Linked DNA regions of Neodiprion lecontei. The protein of the gene in region 1 purifies or fractionates together with the protein of each later gene. This does not show direct contact. Links are inferred from orthologs where the notes say so. Each region holds a gene or a part of one and is shown in the gene's direction. Other genes may lie near its edges.

The links. The genes of interacting proteins can lie anywhere in the genome.
Region 2: the proteins of coatomer subunit alpha (region 1) and coatomer subunit beta fractionate together in Homo sapiens (co-fractionation; 6 studies listed by BioGRID and IntAct, with this or other methods). This does not show direct contact. The link is inferred for Neodiprion lecontei from reciprocal best matches to the Homo sapiens genes COPA and COPB1.

The regions. Positions count from the first base shown.
Region 1 is NC_060264.1:35,963,568-35,969,740, forward strand, and holds the start of coatomer subunit alpha, read left to right. Parts: upstream 1-2,751; 5' UTR 2,752-2,879; coding exon 2,880-2,959; intron 2,960-3,899; exon of another isoform or gene 3,900-4,097; coding exon of another isoform or gene 4,098-5,210; intron 5,211-5,298; coding exon of another isoform or gene 5,299-5,331; exon of another isoform or gene 5,332-5,405; intron 5,406-6,173. Other genes in the region: uncharacterized protein LOC107217266, read right to left, coding at 4,098-5,210, 5,299-5,331. UniProt on the Homo sapiens protein: The coatomer is a cytosolic protein complex that binds to dilysine motifs and reversibly associates with Golgi non-clathrin-coated vesicles, which further mediate biosynthetic protein transport from the ER, via the Golgi up to the trans Golgi network.
Region 2 is NC_060265.1:2,314,990-2,323,306, reverse strand, and holds coatomer subunit beta, read left to right. Parts: upstream 1-2,623; 5' UTR 2,624-2,819; intron 2,820-3,153; 5' UTR 3,154-3,167; coding exon 3,168-3,535; intron 3,536-3,617; coding exon 3,618-3,951; intron 3,952-4,044; coding exon 4,045-4,333; intron 4,334-4,406; coding exon 4,407-4,747; intron 4,748-4,819; coding exon 4,820-5,093; intron 5,094-5,162; coding exon 5,163-5,530; intron 5,531-5,612; coding exon 5,613-5,751; intron 5,752-5,836; coding exon 5,837-6,142; intron 6,143-6,283; coding exon 6,284-6,519; intron 6,520-6,650; coding exon 6,651-6,881; 3' UTR 6,882-7,429; downstream 7,430-8,317. Other genes in the region: transient-receptor-potential-like protein, read right to left, coding at 7,818-8,162, 8,296-8,317. UniProt on the Homo sapiens protein: The coatomer is a cytosolic protein complex that binds to dilysine motifs and reversibly associates with Golgi non-clathrin-coated vesicles, which further mediate biosynthetic protein transport from the ER, via the Golgi up to the trans Golgi network.

The DNA.
Region 1 (6,173 bases):
GAGTTTTTAAATAGCTTAGGAATAAATCTTATTCAAATTATTCCAAAAATTATTGAACAGTTACCGCATTAATTAACAGCAATAACGAAACATCGCATAATTAAAATTATTTACTATTTATAGTATTATGTATATCAATAATGCAGTATAATTACACGTCTTAAAATCTATATGTATATTAACTATCCGTCATCATTATATCTTATACACTGCAACACAACCTGATCGTAGTCTAAAAAAAGTTTCGTATGATTAAAAAGAAATAAATTATCGCCAAAACTGTTGAAAGATTTTGCAAATATATGCATATACAGTGAAGCAATCTTGAAAAAATTCTAAACTAATAGCAATTACAAAATGTTCGCAGTTTGGTCAACTTAATATTACAATCAGAATATACATACCTATATGTATTGCCGAGTGAATGGTAATACAAAAGACTGCCTGGTACAAATTTAATACATACAGGTGATTTCGCCACCTATCTCTCCCTCTCTCTCTCTCTCTCTTTCTCTGTTTCTTCCCCTCTTTTTCTTACTTCAAGCAAATCATTGAGTAGAAATTCAGCAAGTATTCGTAATACTCGTGGTCCCATTATTAAAAAGTAAATATGGGACGAAGGAGTAGACAGAATTTACGAAATAAATTTATTCATGATAACAACCACATATATTATATTATGTTATTATTGTTGAAGGCATTTGAATGCATATAATGTAAACGTGTCAGGAAATCATTACTTTCGGAAATCAAGAACAGATGTATACCTTCGCAGGGTAACGAAATAGCAAATAATATTGTGCTTACATCATATCATGTTTCATCGTTTAATATATAAGTGATGTAATTGAAATATCTTATAATATTTACCAAATAGATTATAGACTGTATACGGAACGCGAGAGCACACTGTAAAATCGACAATACATCAATTTATCCGTGGTTTAAAGTTTTGGAAGCGATAATAGGCGCGCGTTGCACGTGTCATTATTGTAATTTAAGGCAAACATCATGTAAAATAATAAACTGTACATATTATGAAATTAAATATTATAAATACGTGAACTTTGTGACGTCAAGCTTATTACTGTCGCGTTGGCCATGCAACATTTGCAGTGACCGCATGTGCAGTAAGTTTGATAATTTATAGCATGTATGTACAGTGTGTGGTGACGTTATTCCATTGTATTCAAATATACTTTACAATATCCCGCCAAGCATGCCATTCGTCGTATTTACAATTATTGCAATACGTATGAACCATCTCGTCAATTACCCTTCTAATAATAAGTAAAGATATTACATATATCTCAACCTACATTCTTGATACTGTAGGTACTTTATAGCGCTAGAATGACCAAACAGAGAGCTCATCAGGTTAGTGTGGAAGGTATAAAATTTTTATACGCAATTGCAGTAGCAATTGGCGGTCCTGACTTTTTAACTATCAAGTGGAAAATGCAGGTCATATGTAGTCAGTTTCATTAAACCTGCTTAATATTGTCGCGCTCGGGTCTCCAGCTAGTCGCTGGAGAGAAAGACGGAAAAACAGTGGGAGAGAAGGAATACATAGCTGTCTTTCTCTATCGGTTTCAGTTGCGTCCACAATCCTCCATAACTAGAAACTACGGACTTAAGGTCATGTAGTGGTCCTACTCTTACTGACCGAGCAATCTCGCCCTTTTTGGAACGAAGTTCCTTATCGCTCGTTCACCGTAGGGGCTAGGCGGAAAAAAACGACACCAAAAAACCGACACTTTTTGGCTATAGTGCTCGTTTGCTATAGTGCGCGCGATCTCCCTCTCTCTCTCTCTCTCTATTCCAGCGTGTGCGCGCGCTCTCTCTCTCTGTCTCAGCGCTTGGGGTGGGAGACGGCAGCAGCGGTCTCTCTCACTCACAGCGCACGACTATACTTCGCCCCTCTTTCTCTCTCCTACAGCGTACAACTATACTTTGGGCCGCAGCGCGCTCTCTCACAGCGTACGTCTATACTTTGCCTCTCTTTCTTTTTATATCTTTCAAAAACACATTCGTACGATTTTATTACCATTCCTTCATATATTTGATTTTTCATTTAATTATTCTTCAATTAAACGTTCTTAATTTATTCAATGAGCAGTAATATAGCGTAAGGAACTTCGTTCGTACCGGCTGTCCCATGACAGCTCTCATGTTTTTTTCTTCCTATATTAAATAAACAAACAAATTAAAAGGATTCAAACACTGAAATTACAGTTCAGTGGGTTGAAAAATGCTCTCGCGTCGAGTTGCCGCGACCATGCGAACCAAGGAACGTGTTGCCGCGCGCCCAACTGATCGTGACAGCTTCTTTTATTTACAAAATTATTGTAATTTCTAGTTCTCAACTAGCGACCTCAATATTGCGTGAGAACAGTTTTACGATAGTTCATTTCACTCCTCATTCTTCCTGGAATTGCGCAAAGTATCTCAGCTGTGCGCTTTTTGGCCCCTGAAATGTAGGAAATATGGAAATATAAGTAAGACGTGTCGAAAAACCACACTTTTTTTGACGGTTTTCAGGATATGAGTAACTTTCCTGAATTACTTGAAGAGCGATGCACCCTCGAAATTTGAATATACCTATATATCGGTCAACGCATGTGTAAGCATGCGGTCTGACTTGTTCTACGAAACTCCGCTAGGTAGCGTGCCTCTGCACGCATCGTTTTGCAGCATGAGCATGTTTGTCTATGATCGTAAACCGACCAATGCTTATGGGCGTCGGTAACAGCTTGGGTAACAGCCATCAGCAGCCATTCTGTCAAGTTTGCTAGTGACGTGTCTAAGTGTATCGCTAGGTGTATCTTGCTGTCGATAATGCGATTGTGATAGAATTCCAGGCAGAAAAAACCTACGAAATGTTGACCAAGTTCGAAACAAAATCCGCCCGCGTCAAGGGCTTGTCTTTTCATCCTAAGAGGCCCTGGATCCTTGTTAGGTGAGATATATTTCACGTACATGCCGTCTTGTCGGATGGCAAGGGCTTAGAGCAAATTTCACTTAGTAATTTCTATACGTAAGAAATTGGATGTTATTCGTGACCGAACGTTGGTCTCAGTTCAAGACGCAACACTCAATACCCAAGCAATTGACCGGGTGTCTTACAATGCCGACGTAATTGAAGTGATTCCGCAGCAGACGGACAGACACGTCATCAATTTTTGACATAACCTACAATGCTAAAAAACCTAACCTTCCTTGAGATAATAAGCGCTCGGTCGATTAGGGTTTGTATACAAATACTTAGTAATTGCCGCTTTGTTTACTAGACAGATTCAATTTTTCCTTGTCAGTATTAAAATTTTACGTATTCAAAGACAACTCTGTCACATTTTTAACCAAACTTTAAATACAAAAAAAAAACAATCTACTTACTGACCTACGAATCACTTGATTCGTGTTTTTTAATTCCGCTACCAATTTTCGAATACTAGCGGCACATTCCGAAAGTTGACCGCATTTGTGTCTCTAACAGAATTGATCAACAATTGTAAAATGATGATGACGGTCGTGCGAGTACATTTCGGAATACAATTTATTGATAACTCGGAAATTCTTAACGAATTATTATCGGACAAATATTTTAGCGCACCTATTTATCTAGCATGTCTCATGGCTCCATTAATAGGGACTTAGGGAGAACGCGAAAGCGACCGCCCAACAGTGTCTTTTACTTTCTATAGTAAATAATTTGAAATGGCTTACTGGCGGTTTGTAGTTTACACAATAGACTACTTCTCGAAAAATTGAAACAATCCGTTCCCTAGAAATAGGTCGCCCAAAATTGGCTTCAACGGACTGAAAGAGGATGCATTGGTGTGGAAATCTTTCAACGAAATAAAGCAAACGTGGCAGTCTTGATGTACAAAAGAAAAAAGTAAATTATAATTTTTTATTCGATTCAATCCCAATATATACACGTCAATGTGATAAGTTACATTTAAGACACGGAAAGGGCTATTTCATAGTTAGACTGCCTAAAAAAGAAATATCTGAACTTCTCAAGGCTATCTAAGCCGTCTCCTACTGCCTTGAACAGTGAATTTAACTTAACTTCCGATGGTTATATTAATTAATCAAGCAACAGCCATGGAATCGCTAACAACCGCGGGAGTAGTTGGTTCCACAGATTCGGTTGCAGTCGAGCTTGAAGGCGATGATGTTTCCGCGGAGATTGTAGTCGACTCTGTAGAACTTTCTGCGGATTTTTCTGTCAACTGCTCAGTAGACGTTGGTAATTCAGATAGCTTTGCGGACATTGCTTGATCGGTAACGGTGACTGAATCCTTGGACGAATCTTCTTCGGTTGTTCCCGAAATCACGTCACTTGTGGCAGACTGCTCCGAAGTACTCTCAACCTTCTCGCCGGTTCCGGAACTCTGGCCGACCTTCAACGGAATCATATCTTGAATTTCTTTCAAATCCTCTGGCATGCTTTCCTCGGACTCCCCGGAGATGTAATTGTTCACCGATGGTGTGAAGATCGGGTTATGATGCAACGACGGAAATAGCGGATTGTAGTATTCCTCAAATGTCGGGTACAATGGATTATAGAGACCCTGGTAAGAGCTGTACTGGTTGTAGAACGGCTCGTACTGAGATCCAAAGTAATTCGACGGCCCATAGCTAGAGAATCCGGACGATAACTGAGGATAATAGGAATTGAAACCTCGCAGTCTCAGGATAGGGTAAGGCGCTTGGAACCCGACACCCTTTTCCGGGATGAACACCTCATCTGGTTGGTCTTGCTTCGTGCCTTCCGTCGGGTTCATGGCTGGAGACAACGCATCATCCTTCGGGACGGGCGTAGAAGTTTCTATCGTATCAACCGGGACAAGTGGCACGGCCGTTGTTGTTTCTTTGTTCATTTCCGCGACTTTCACCTTCTTGTCATCTTCAGTATTGCCAAGGTTGGAGGCTGGAGCCTTGATAAATGGCATCGAACTCAGCTGATCGCGCATAGCACTGACTTCATTGTTCATTTTGACATCCGATTCCGGCCCAGTGACAAAAACGACTTCGGTTTGCCCGCCAGCGAAGTCCTTTGTGAAGTACGAGTAACCCGCAAAATCAACATTTCCGCCGACCGGCGAACTGTAAATGAGATGCGGGGTGAGCGACAGAGGAGCATGAAATTGCGGGTACGGAAACTGGAAGGTACCGAGCGCTGATCCGACGTATATTAGAACCTGCGTGAGAAATTAAAAATTAATTAGGAAAATGAAAGAAGAGTCATGGCCGTCGGCGCGATAAACATCAAAGAAATTTGGTACTTACTAAGCACAAAGGGGAGTACCAGATAGCCGACATCTTGTTGAAGCTAATCAACACTACTGCACTGATCGAAGAACTCCTAAAGACTGCCAGTCTTGTCGGAGACGACGTAATCTATATAAACTCCGTTAGGATCACGAGCAAACACCCCACCAACAATACTTACCAGAAAACTCTTGTCGTCAAGCCTCTGACCCGGTTCCTCCGTATGGCCCGAGGGTACGGTTTGTTTCTTCGCCGTTACTCGGCGAATAAACCGAACAATGTAAAATCCTGATCCATATATTCACTGACTCACCCAGTGCGTCGACTGCACTAACAAATTGTCGTGCATCGAACGTATATTTTACTTTTACATTTTCAAGAAAGCGTTTTTAATGCTAATGACAGACACTAGGAAGAATCGATTTATCCCTTTTATCGAATATCATTCTTTACACTCATCATCATAAATTCTTGATCAGAAATAATGAATGATCACTTTGTAAGGTTGATGCATCGTTGATGAAGAAATTTAACCAAGGTAGTTATACCAGCACGGCTCTTCACACCTAGGACAAGTACCGCTAAGATTTTTTAGCGTCTAGTCATGTAAATTATTTCACGAGTCGTTGACTCTACTCAGTAAATAGTTTTTCAGCTGCCTCTTCGAACCGAGTTCAAAGACCCGTCTCGATGTTATAGCCGACTACCTGCATATCGTCCGATTCTTTTCGGCCTCATGATTTCGCTGTGCAACAAGTATAAAGAAACTTTTTCCGCGACACTGAGTGGGTGTAACCTGAAATTATTATCTCCTGTGACGAGTTCCCTTTCTCTCGCACTATTCTTTTAATTCGTGGCAAAAGACAAACCTTGAAGTTGGTCCAGAGCCTTGA
Region 2 (8,317 bases), on another chromosome or scaffold:
AAACCAGAACCTGAATTTTCGACATTTTTCAGCAGGTGCTTTTTCGCTCGCCATTTCTCTCCTGTTGGTCCTACGCTCTTTTCGCTGCGATTTCTGAGTTCCTGAGGGTCCAATTGGTCGGATAAGGATCGTTTAAATCGAATCTGAGATCAAAAGTTTTTTGCCAAAAAAAAAAGCAAGGCTAACCCCTTTCCATTTTTGGCGAAAATTTTCGCGATTTTGAAAAGTGCTGGAATCAATTAATTGTAGCACTGATCGGACGTAATTTTGCGAGAGAAATCGATTGGGCGCAGTCCCAATACGCTGCGATCAACGCATCAAAAGTTACAGCCAAAAAACCAGAACCTGAATTTTCGACATTTTTCAGCAGGTGCTTTTTCGCTCGCCATTTCTCTCCTGTTGGTCCTACGCTCTTTTCGCTGCGATTTCTGAGTTCCTGAGGGTCCAATTGGTCGGATAAGGATCGTTTAAATCGAATCTGAGACCAAAAGTTTTTTGCCAAAAAAAAAAGTAAGGCTAACCCCTTTCCATTTTTGGCGAAAATTTTCGCGATTTTGAAAAGTGCTGGAATCAATTAATTGTAGCACTGATCGGACGTAATTTTGCGAGAGAAATCGATTGGGCGCAGTCCCGATACGCTGCGATCAACGCATCAAATGTTACGGCCGAAAAACCGTAAAACTTCCTAGTAATCAGTAGCTGTTGTCCCATCGCTGTTTCAGATGCGCTTCTTGCATTCCATAGTCACAACTTATCACGACGAAAGTCTTTTAAATTGATGTCAGTCCGAAAAATTACTTTCACAAAAAATCGTAATAAAGCAAAGCTCATCAGTTTCAATCACAAAATAAATGTTACGGACATTGCAAAGAAATTCACACAGTATTTCTAATATGATAGGGGAAAAAAATCACAAATCCATAGTTCCAAACTTCAAGTTTATGTAATAACACTTATTCCTACTACAAGTGTTCGAGTGTCAGTGTGCAGTGATTGACAAGTTGCCACATTGTATAAAAATGAAAGACAAAAAGAAGAACAAAAATGTGGTCGATCATTACTCTATAAATCTGACGAATACAAGAGAAAAACAGCGTGCAATATGTCTCATCTTAAGCAAAATATGATAAAATATTACATAGGAGTGTCATTGTTGTAGTTACTTATGATAAGTATCGTTCAAGATCCGACTTGCGTAACAACGCAACGCACCTCTGCAAGATACGATATATTGTGTATCACATAATAATATTGTCACTGTTTCATGTAACCCGCATTAAAATGATTAAACAATTGTAATTTCCCACGTTATATTCTTATCTTTTCATCTGTTGATCTCCCAATGATTTAAACGCCTTTTTGGAAATCCTTGAGGTCCAATTAATCCAGTAAGTCCTACGAATAGAGTCTGTGAAAAAAAATGCTAAGTCTAAAAATCAAGAATAGTAACGCTTACTTTGGTCCGAACAAAGGCCCATTGGATTTTTCATGGAAATTATCACCATTTTAAAAACTGTTGGAATAATTTCTTTGACGTACTTACCATATCAACGTAACTTTGCGGGTAGGATCGATTGCGCGCAGTCCGAATACGCTACGAGCAATGGGTTAAGATTTACAACCGAAAAATTAAAGATCATCTTCGTAATTTTTTTGCTGATGTTCCTTTGCTCTTTTTGATGATCCTGAGGGTCCAATCAGTCTAGAAATGTTCGTACAAATCGATTCTGAGACGAAAGATTGTTTGTTCCAAGAACAAGTAAGGTCAACTCCTTTCGACTTCCGGTGAAAATTTTGAAGATAATGCCAAAATCAATTCTTTGTCGCACTATATCAAATCTAACTCAGTGGAAACGTTGTTTTCCCACAGCTTCGCGATTTCACGTATTAATTATCATTAAAGATAAGCAATCATCTAGTGCCATCTACCATTATAGTAGGTGAGTATGTTGTGATGTGCAATGCCCACACGACTGCCTTGGTGTACCGACATCATTGTTCAATCTTTCCTTTTTTCGTCAAGTACAGACACTTGATCCACTGTTATTGACGTAAATAACAATATCTCCTCCTTTTACCAGAAAACATTACAACTCATGCAAATCATATTCAACATCTTCTTTCGTTGACTAATGATTGCTACAGACAGTCAGCCCTGGGCATTATTTTGTTGGGTGCGTTCCGACGTTAGCTAGATGCGCTAAAAACTCCCTAGGCCAAAGGTTCTATCCGCGAACACGGCAGCGCAAAAGAGATAAACGATGGTTGACAGCTCCAGAAGCTCATATCAGAACGGACCCGAAGCAAGCACAAGTGCAACGTGGGCGCGGAGATAATGGCAGTATCTTTTATTTATCGATTTGATTAGGGGGCATTGAGTGGGTAACAGTAGGAAATTTCTTTACCGAGGCTTTCTTCCCCGCCTCACATTCTTGCGTCGAGTTTCAATTCAGCTTGCCCGTCCCAAGCAATATTCAATCAACGCTACTTCTCATTTTTTATGGGCCGCCGCGTTGGGACTCCGTTCCCTCTTGATTAACCTAAATATGCCCGTCTCTGGCTAACGTGAAGTAGAGGGTTTCGAATATCTGAGCTAGCTTTAAATTTCCCTGGCGCGCCATTCGCTTGTCACGACGGCGGCCCGAACTTCCGTATGACACGTATGCCGTCCGCAATCTTCGTCACGAATCAGTTTTAAATGCTGTCGTTCCTTTCGGAACTACTCAGCGGCGTTATATTTTGGTACAATTAATCCACGTTTTTAAATCACGACGAATCTCTGCCTCAGCTTCTGCTCCTTAAGAACGCGGGAGGAAATCGTACGTATGCTCTTCTTCGGCCGTGAGGCTCGCGACTTAAGGCAAACATAACCTACATGTGTGTCCGTCCGGCCCTCCCATCCTAGAATTACTTTGAATTAAATTGAATAAATGAGCTGTCTGAGTAAATGGTTTGTCGCAGCTTTTCCTTGTCCTTTGCCGACTTGAATATTTCTCTCCCACATCGCTATATATACTGACACTTTGGAGGACTGTTGAAGGTTTCAGTGCATGTGTCAAATTCTCCAAACTAGAATAAGATTCATCCACGAACTTGATACTATAGTATATGTAAAGAGGTGAAAAATCCAGTATTTTATTTTTCTAATTTCAGCCCCAATTTCCACCATGAGTAGTATTGCAGAACAGCCATGCTACACACTGATAAATATTCCAATGGATTCGGAGCCAATCAACGAGCTCCAGCTGAAGCTCGATCTGGAGAAGGGTGACACCAAAACTAAAATTGAAGCACTCAAGAGAACGATACACATGATTATCAGTGGCGAAAGGCTCCCTGGGCTGTTAATGACCATTATAAGATTCGTGCTACCATTGCAAGACCATATGGTTAAAAAATTGCTACTCATTTTTTGGGAAATCGTACCAAAAACTTCTCCAGATGGCAAACTACTTCAGGAAATGATTCTCGTCTGCGATGCATACAGAAAAGACCTGCAGCATCCAAACGAATTTGTCAGGGGATCCACTCTGAGGTTCTTTCAGATTCTTATTTAGCTCTTGCCTAGCAGTTAAATTTTTTGTGTTTGACGTCATCCTTTACACCTAATCTTTTAGATTTCTCTGCAAACTCAAGGAGCCTGAACTTCTGGAGCCTCTGATGCCTGCGATCATAGCCTGTTTGGAGCATCGGCATTCGTACGTTAGGCGAAATGCAGTTTTAGCCATATTCACAATATACCGTAATTTTGAGTTTCTCATACCGGACGCTCCAGAGTTAATCGCAAAATACTTGGACGGTGAGCAGGATATGTCCTGTAGACGAAATGCATTCCTCATGCTGCTCCATGCTGATCAGAGCAGAGCTCTTTCCTACCTAGCTGCTTGTCTTGACCAAGTTCCAAGCTTTGGCGACATCCTTCAGCTTGTTATCGTCGAACTGATTTACAAGGTAAGCTTTCTGCAATTTAATTATCTTTCAAAGAAAAAACAAAGTCCATATTTCAATGTATTTACGAACTCTAAATTCATATTATTCTTGCAGGTGTGCCATGCAAATCCATCAGAGAGAGCTAGATTTATCCGTTGCATCTATAGTTTGCTAAACTCACCAAGCGCGGCTGTTCGGTATGAAGCTGCTGGTACACTGGTTACCCTGTCTAGTGCCCCAACAGCAATACGAGCTGCTGCTGCATCCTATGTAGAACTGGTAGTTAAAGAGAGTGACAATAATGTGAAGTTGATTGTTCTGGATCGACTTATTGCCATGAAGGACAGCCCTGCCCATGAAAGAGTATTACAGGATCTTGTAATGGATGTGCTTAGAGTTTTGGGTGGGTTTAGCTCTTTGCTGCTCAAGAATTTCTTGGAGATTTACAGTTTTACCTGATTGAAATCATCTTCTAGGATCTCCGGCGTTTGAAGTCAGGACAAAAACCCTTGCCTTGGCAATGGATCTGGTATCAAATCGAACCATTGACGAAATGGTGCAGCTGCTTAAGAAAGAAGTGATGCGGACTGCTGGTGGGGAACACGAAGATGCTGGTAGATACCGTCGGCTCCTGGTTAGGACCCTACACGCCTGTTCAATCAAGTTCCCAGATGTTGCAGCAACTGTTATACCAGTTCTAACTGATTTTCTCTCTGAAAATAACGAAGCTGCAGCCACTGACGTTCTCATTTTCGTTCGTGAAGCCATCCAACGATTTGAGCCACTCAGGCCACTCATTATAGAAAAGCTATTAGAAGTAAGAATCTCATTCCCTACCTCTTATCGAATGTCACTTCATTATTAATTTTTCTGTCTCCTGTTCGCTCAGGTATTTCCACAAATTCGGTCGGTCAAAGTACACCGTGCAGCTCTTTGGATCCTTGGAGAGTATGCAGTTTCAAAAGAAGACATCGAAGCTGTAATGAGTCGCATTAGGGCCGCGCTTGGAGAGCTACCTTTAGTCGAGGCAGAGAATAAGAGGGCGGCTGGTGACAAGCCGGCCGAAGACGGCGCTGCCCCAACTTCAGCAGCAAACCCGGCTCAGCTTGTAACCTCGGATGGAACGTATGCTAGCCAGAGTGCGTTTAGCACAGCATCGACTGGTCAGTTCATGTTCTAAAGACAATTTTTACAAAATATGGGCGAATATTGCACTGTGATTGTTCTTTCAGGTAAAAAAGAAGAAAAACGTCCAGCTCTGGTCCAGTACATGATGGATGGTGACTTTTTCATTGGTGCTTCCCTTGCTACAACCCTTGCTAAGCTTGTACTGCGCTACAAAGCTCTCGAGAACGATGCTACAAAGAGCAACAGGATGCAAGCAGAAGCGATGCTCATTATGTCTGGTGTATTGCAGCTCGGTAGATCCGGGCTTCCGACTAAAGCTATGACCCACGACGATGCTGAACGACTGACCGTGTGCCTGAGGTCACTAGCCTGTCCTACACCCATCATTCAAAAGGTCTTCACAGAGGGCTGTAGAGACGCCCTCAGCAGAATGTTCGCTGCTAAAGCCGAGGAAGACTCGCAAACTCAAAAGGTAGCGTGCTTTCTCATGACGATCATAAGGAAGTAATAGGAACAATTTAATCTACGGGCTATAATTTTTTTTCGATTAATAGGCAAAGGAAAAGCCGGGCAGCATCGTACAAGTTGATGATGCAATCCAATTCCTGCAACTCAGCCGTAATTTGGATCTCACTGGAGGCGCGGGAGACGTCTTCGAGCAAAGTCTTAGCGTGGCGGTTGCTGGCAGGCCAGGTATAAAGAGTTTAATGTTTATTTACAATGTCGCGGAACCAACAAATTTACGAAAATCGATTTTTCATTCGTGAATATATTTCAGGCGCGGCAGGAGACGCACCGGCACCTAGCGCCTTGAGTAAAGTAACGCAGCTCACAGGATTCTCCGATCCCGTATACGCAGAAGCTCTGGTCCACGTCAACCAGTACGACATTGTCCTCGACGTTCTTGTTGTCAATCAGACGGAAGACACCCTCCAAAACTGCACGTTAGAACTCGCGACAATGGGTGACCTTAAACTCGTAGAAAGACCGCAACCCATAGTTCTGGCGCCAAGAGACTTTGCCAGTATCAAGGCGAACGTAAAGGTCGCGTCGACGGAAAACGGCATTATCTTCGGAAACATTGGTACGTTTTCTTACACCCCTTTAGTAATCTTTAAATGAGAATTTGCGAGATATCGTCAAGCTAGTTTACCTACAAATAATTTTCAATCGTCTGGTTGGGGAACTTCTTCGGAATCTTAATTATGACAATTTCATCTTGCAGTATACGACGTGTCAGGCGCCGGTTCGGACAGGAGCGTGGTAGTCCTGAATGATATTCACATAGACATAATGGACTACATAGTACCAGCAACATGTACCGACAGTGATTTCAGGCGTATGTGGTCAGAGTTTGAATGGGAGAACAAGGTGTCGGTAAACACGACATTGTCAGATCTCCGAGAATACCTCGCCCACCTACTTAAGTCGACCAACATGCGCTGTCTCACGCCCGAAAAGGTATGGCTTACTGTAATTTTTATGAATCTATTTCAGCAAGATAAAGTTTCTTCTGTTATTTGACGATCTTCTACCGTTTCTTTCTTCTTCAAATATTGTATTCCTAATTCTATAAATTCTATTATAAACAGGCTCTTTCTGGCCAGTGTGGATTCATGGCTGCAAACATGTACGCAAAGTCGATATTTGGCGAAGACGCGCTCGCAAATTTGTCAATTGAAAAACCGATGCACAAACAGGATGCTCCAGTTGTCGGTCACATTCGTATCAGGGCTAAGAGCCAAGGTATGGCGCTTTCATTGGGCGACAAGATAAACTCGACGCAAAAGGGGCCTCAAACTAAACTCGTCCAAGCTGCTTGAGCACCGTCTGATTTATTCGAATTATGATTATTATTCATTGCAACATCATTCATCAGCTATTGATCGCGAGTAAATAGGCCGTTACTCTCTGCCCGCGATAAATTACGCATAATGATACTGAAAACGGAACGAATTGTCAAATTTCGAATCCGAAGATTACTGGAGATTCCATTTTCATCTATACTAAGCGAAAAAGCCGCGTGACTCCGGAGGACAATTGAGTCCATGCACCTGACCGGCGTTGGAAGCGTTGACTATATGATTTTCTGTAACATTTCTAACATTTGTTAATATTATTATTATTATTATTATTATTATTATGATTATACATTCATGTATCAATGAACATAAAATAACACATCTTAGGACTTTAGCAAATTATTCCAGTATCTTGTTTCAATATTATTCATGTCGGGACGTTCGTTGTAAGTGAAACCTATACATATGCGGTACATACATAGATTATGCCAACACATAACATAATATACATTTATTGAGAATGAACAATGTACCAGAGTATTGCAAATAAAACAGAGATTAAGTACGCACATGTGACGTCCATCATCAGTCTATCCCTTCTCTCAATACTATAAGTATGTTTTGTTTGGGACGCACCACTTTAAATACTCTTAAGTAAGATTGTTCTAAAAAGATGTTTTTTCGGCTTGTTAATAAGCATAGATATATAATAAATTATCAGGACAGTGTTTAAAAGTATTACAACGAATGAAAAATTTGCTAATACTGTGCCATAAGCCGAACTCACCGCCGCATTCTAATTAGGCGAAACTTTCTTGAACGCGTTTTACTTATGTCCCACTTTCGAACGGCTCGCAAAGAAATAGATATTGATCTTCGCAATCACCTTAATTGTTTTTAGTGTTGTACAAGGCACTCTGCAAATTGCCAAAGGCGTCTAAACTCCGTCCCGAGATATCAGAGCCAGCCTCCTCCTCTCCTTGGTGATCTCAACGGCGCAAACCGCGGCGACCTAGGTACCGGCTTGACCAGTCGTCGTTTATCGTTGTTCAAGTTCTCGGTTCCCTGCCCTAACTCCGGAGTGTCCGGGGTAACAGAAACATCCGGAACTTTGTTCGCCACGCTTTCGGCCAAAGGCGACGACGTTTGCTGCCGTGGAGTTTTCCCCGGACTGACACGCGCTCTGTTCTTCTTCGGATCCGAGATCTTCGACGTCAGCGGTTTCACCACTCGACCGGGACTCCGTTTTACAGGCTTCGGCTGCTTCTCATCAACGTATCCAACAACCGCCGGGGGTCTCAGCTGATCGGAAAAGATACGCTGTTTCATATAACCCGTATTTTTTCGCGCATTATACATTAAACAATCATTCAACAATCCATATCTGAGTAAGCTTTCTCTCTCCGCCGCGATTTATGATTGTCAAATCGCTTACACTCGGCTCTGGGGTGACTGTG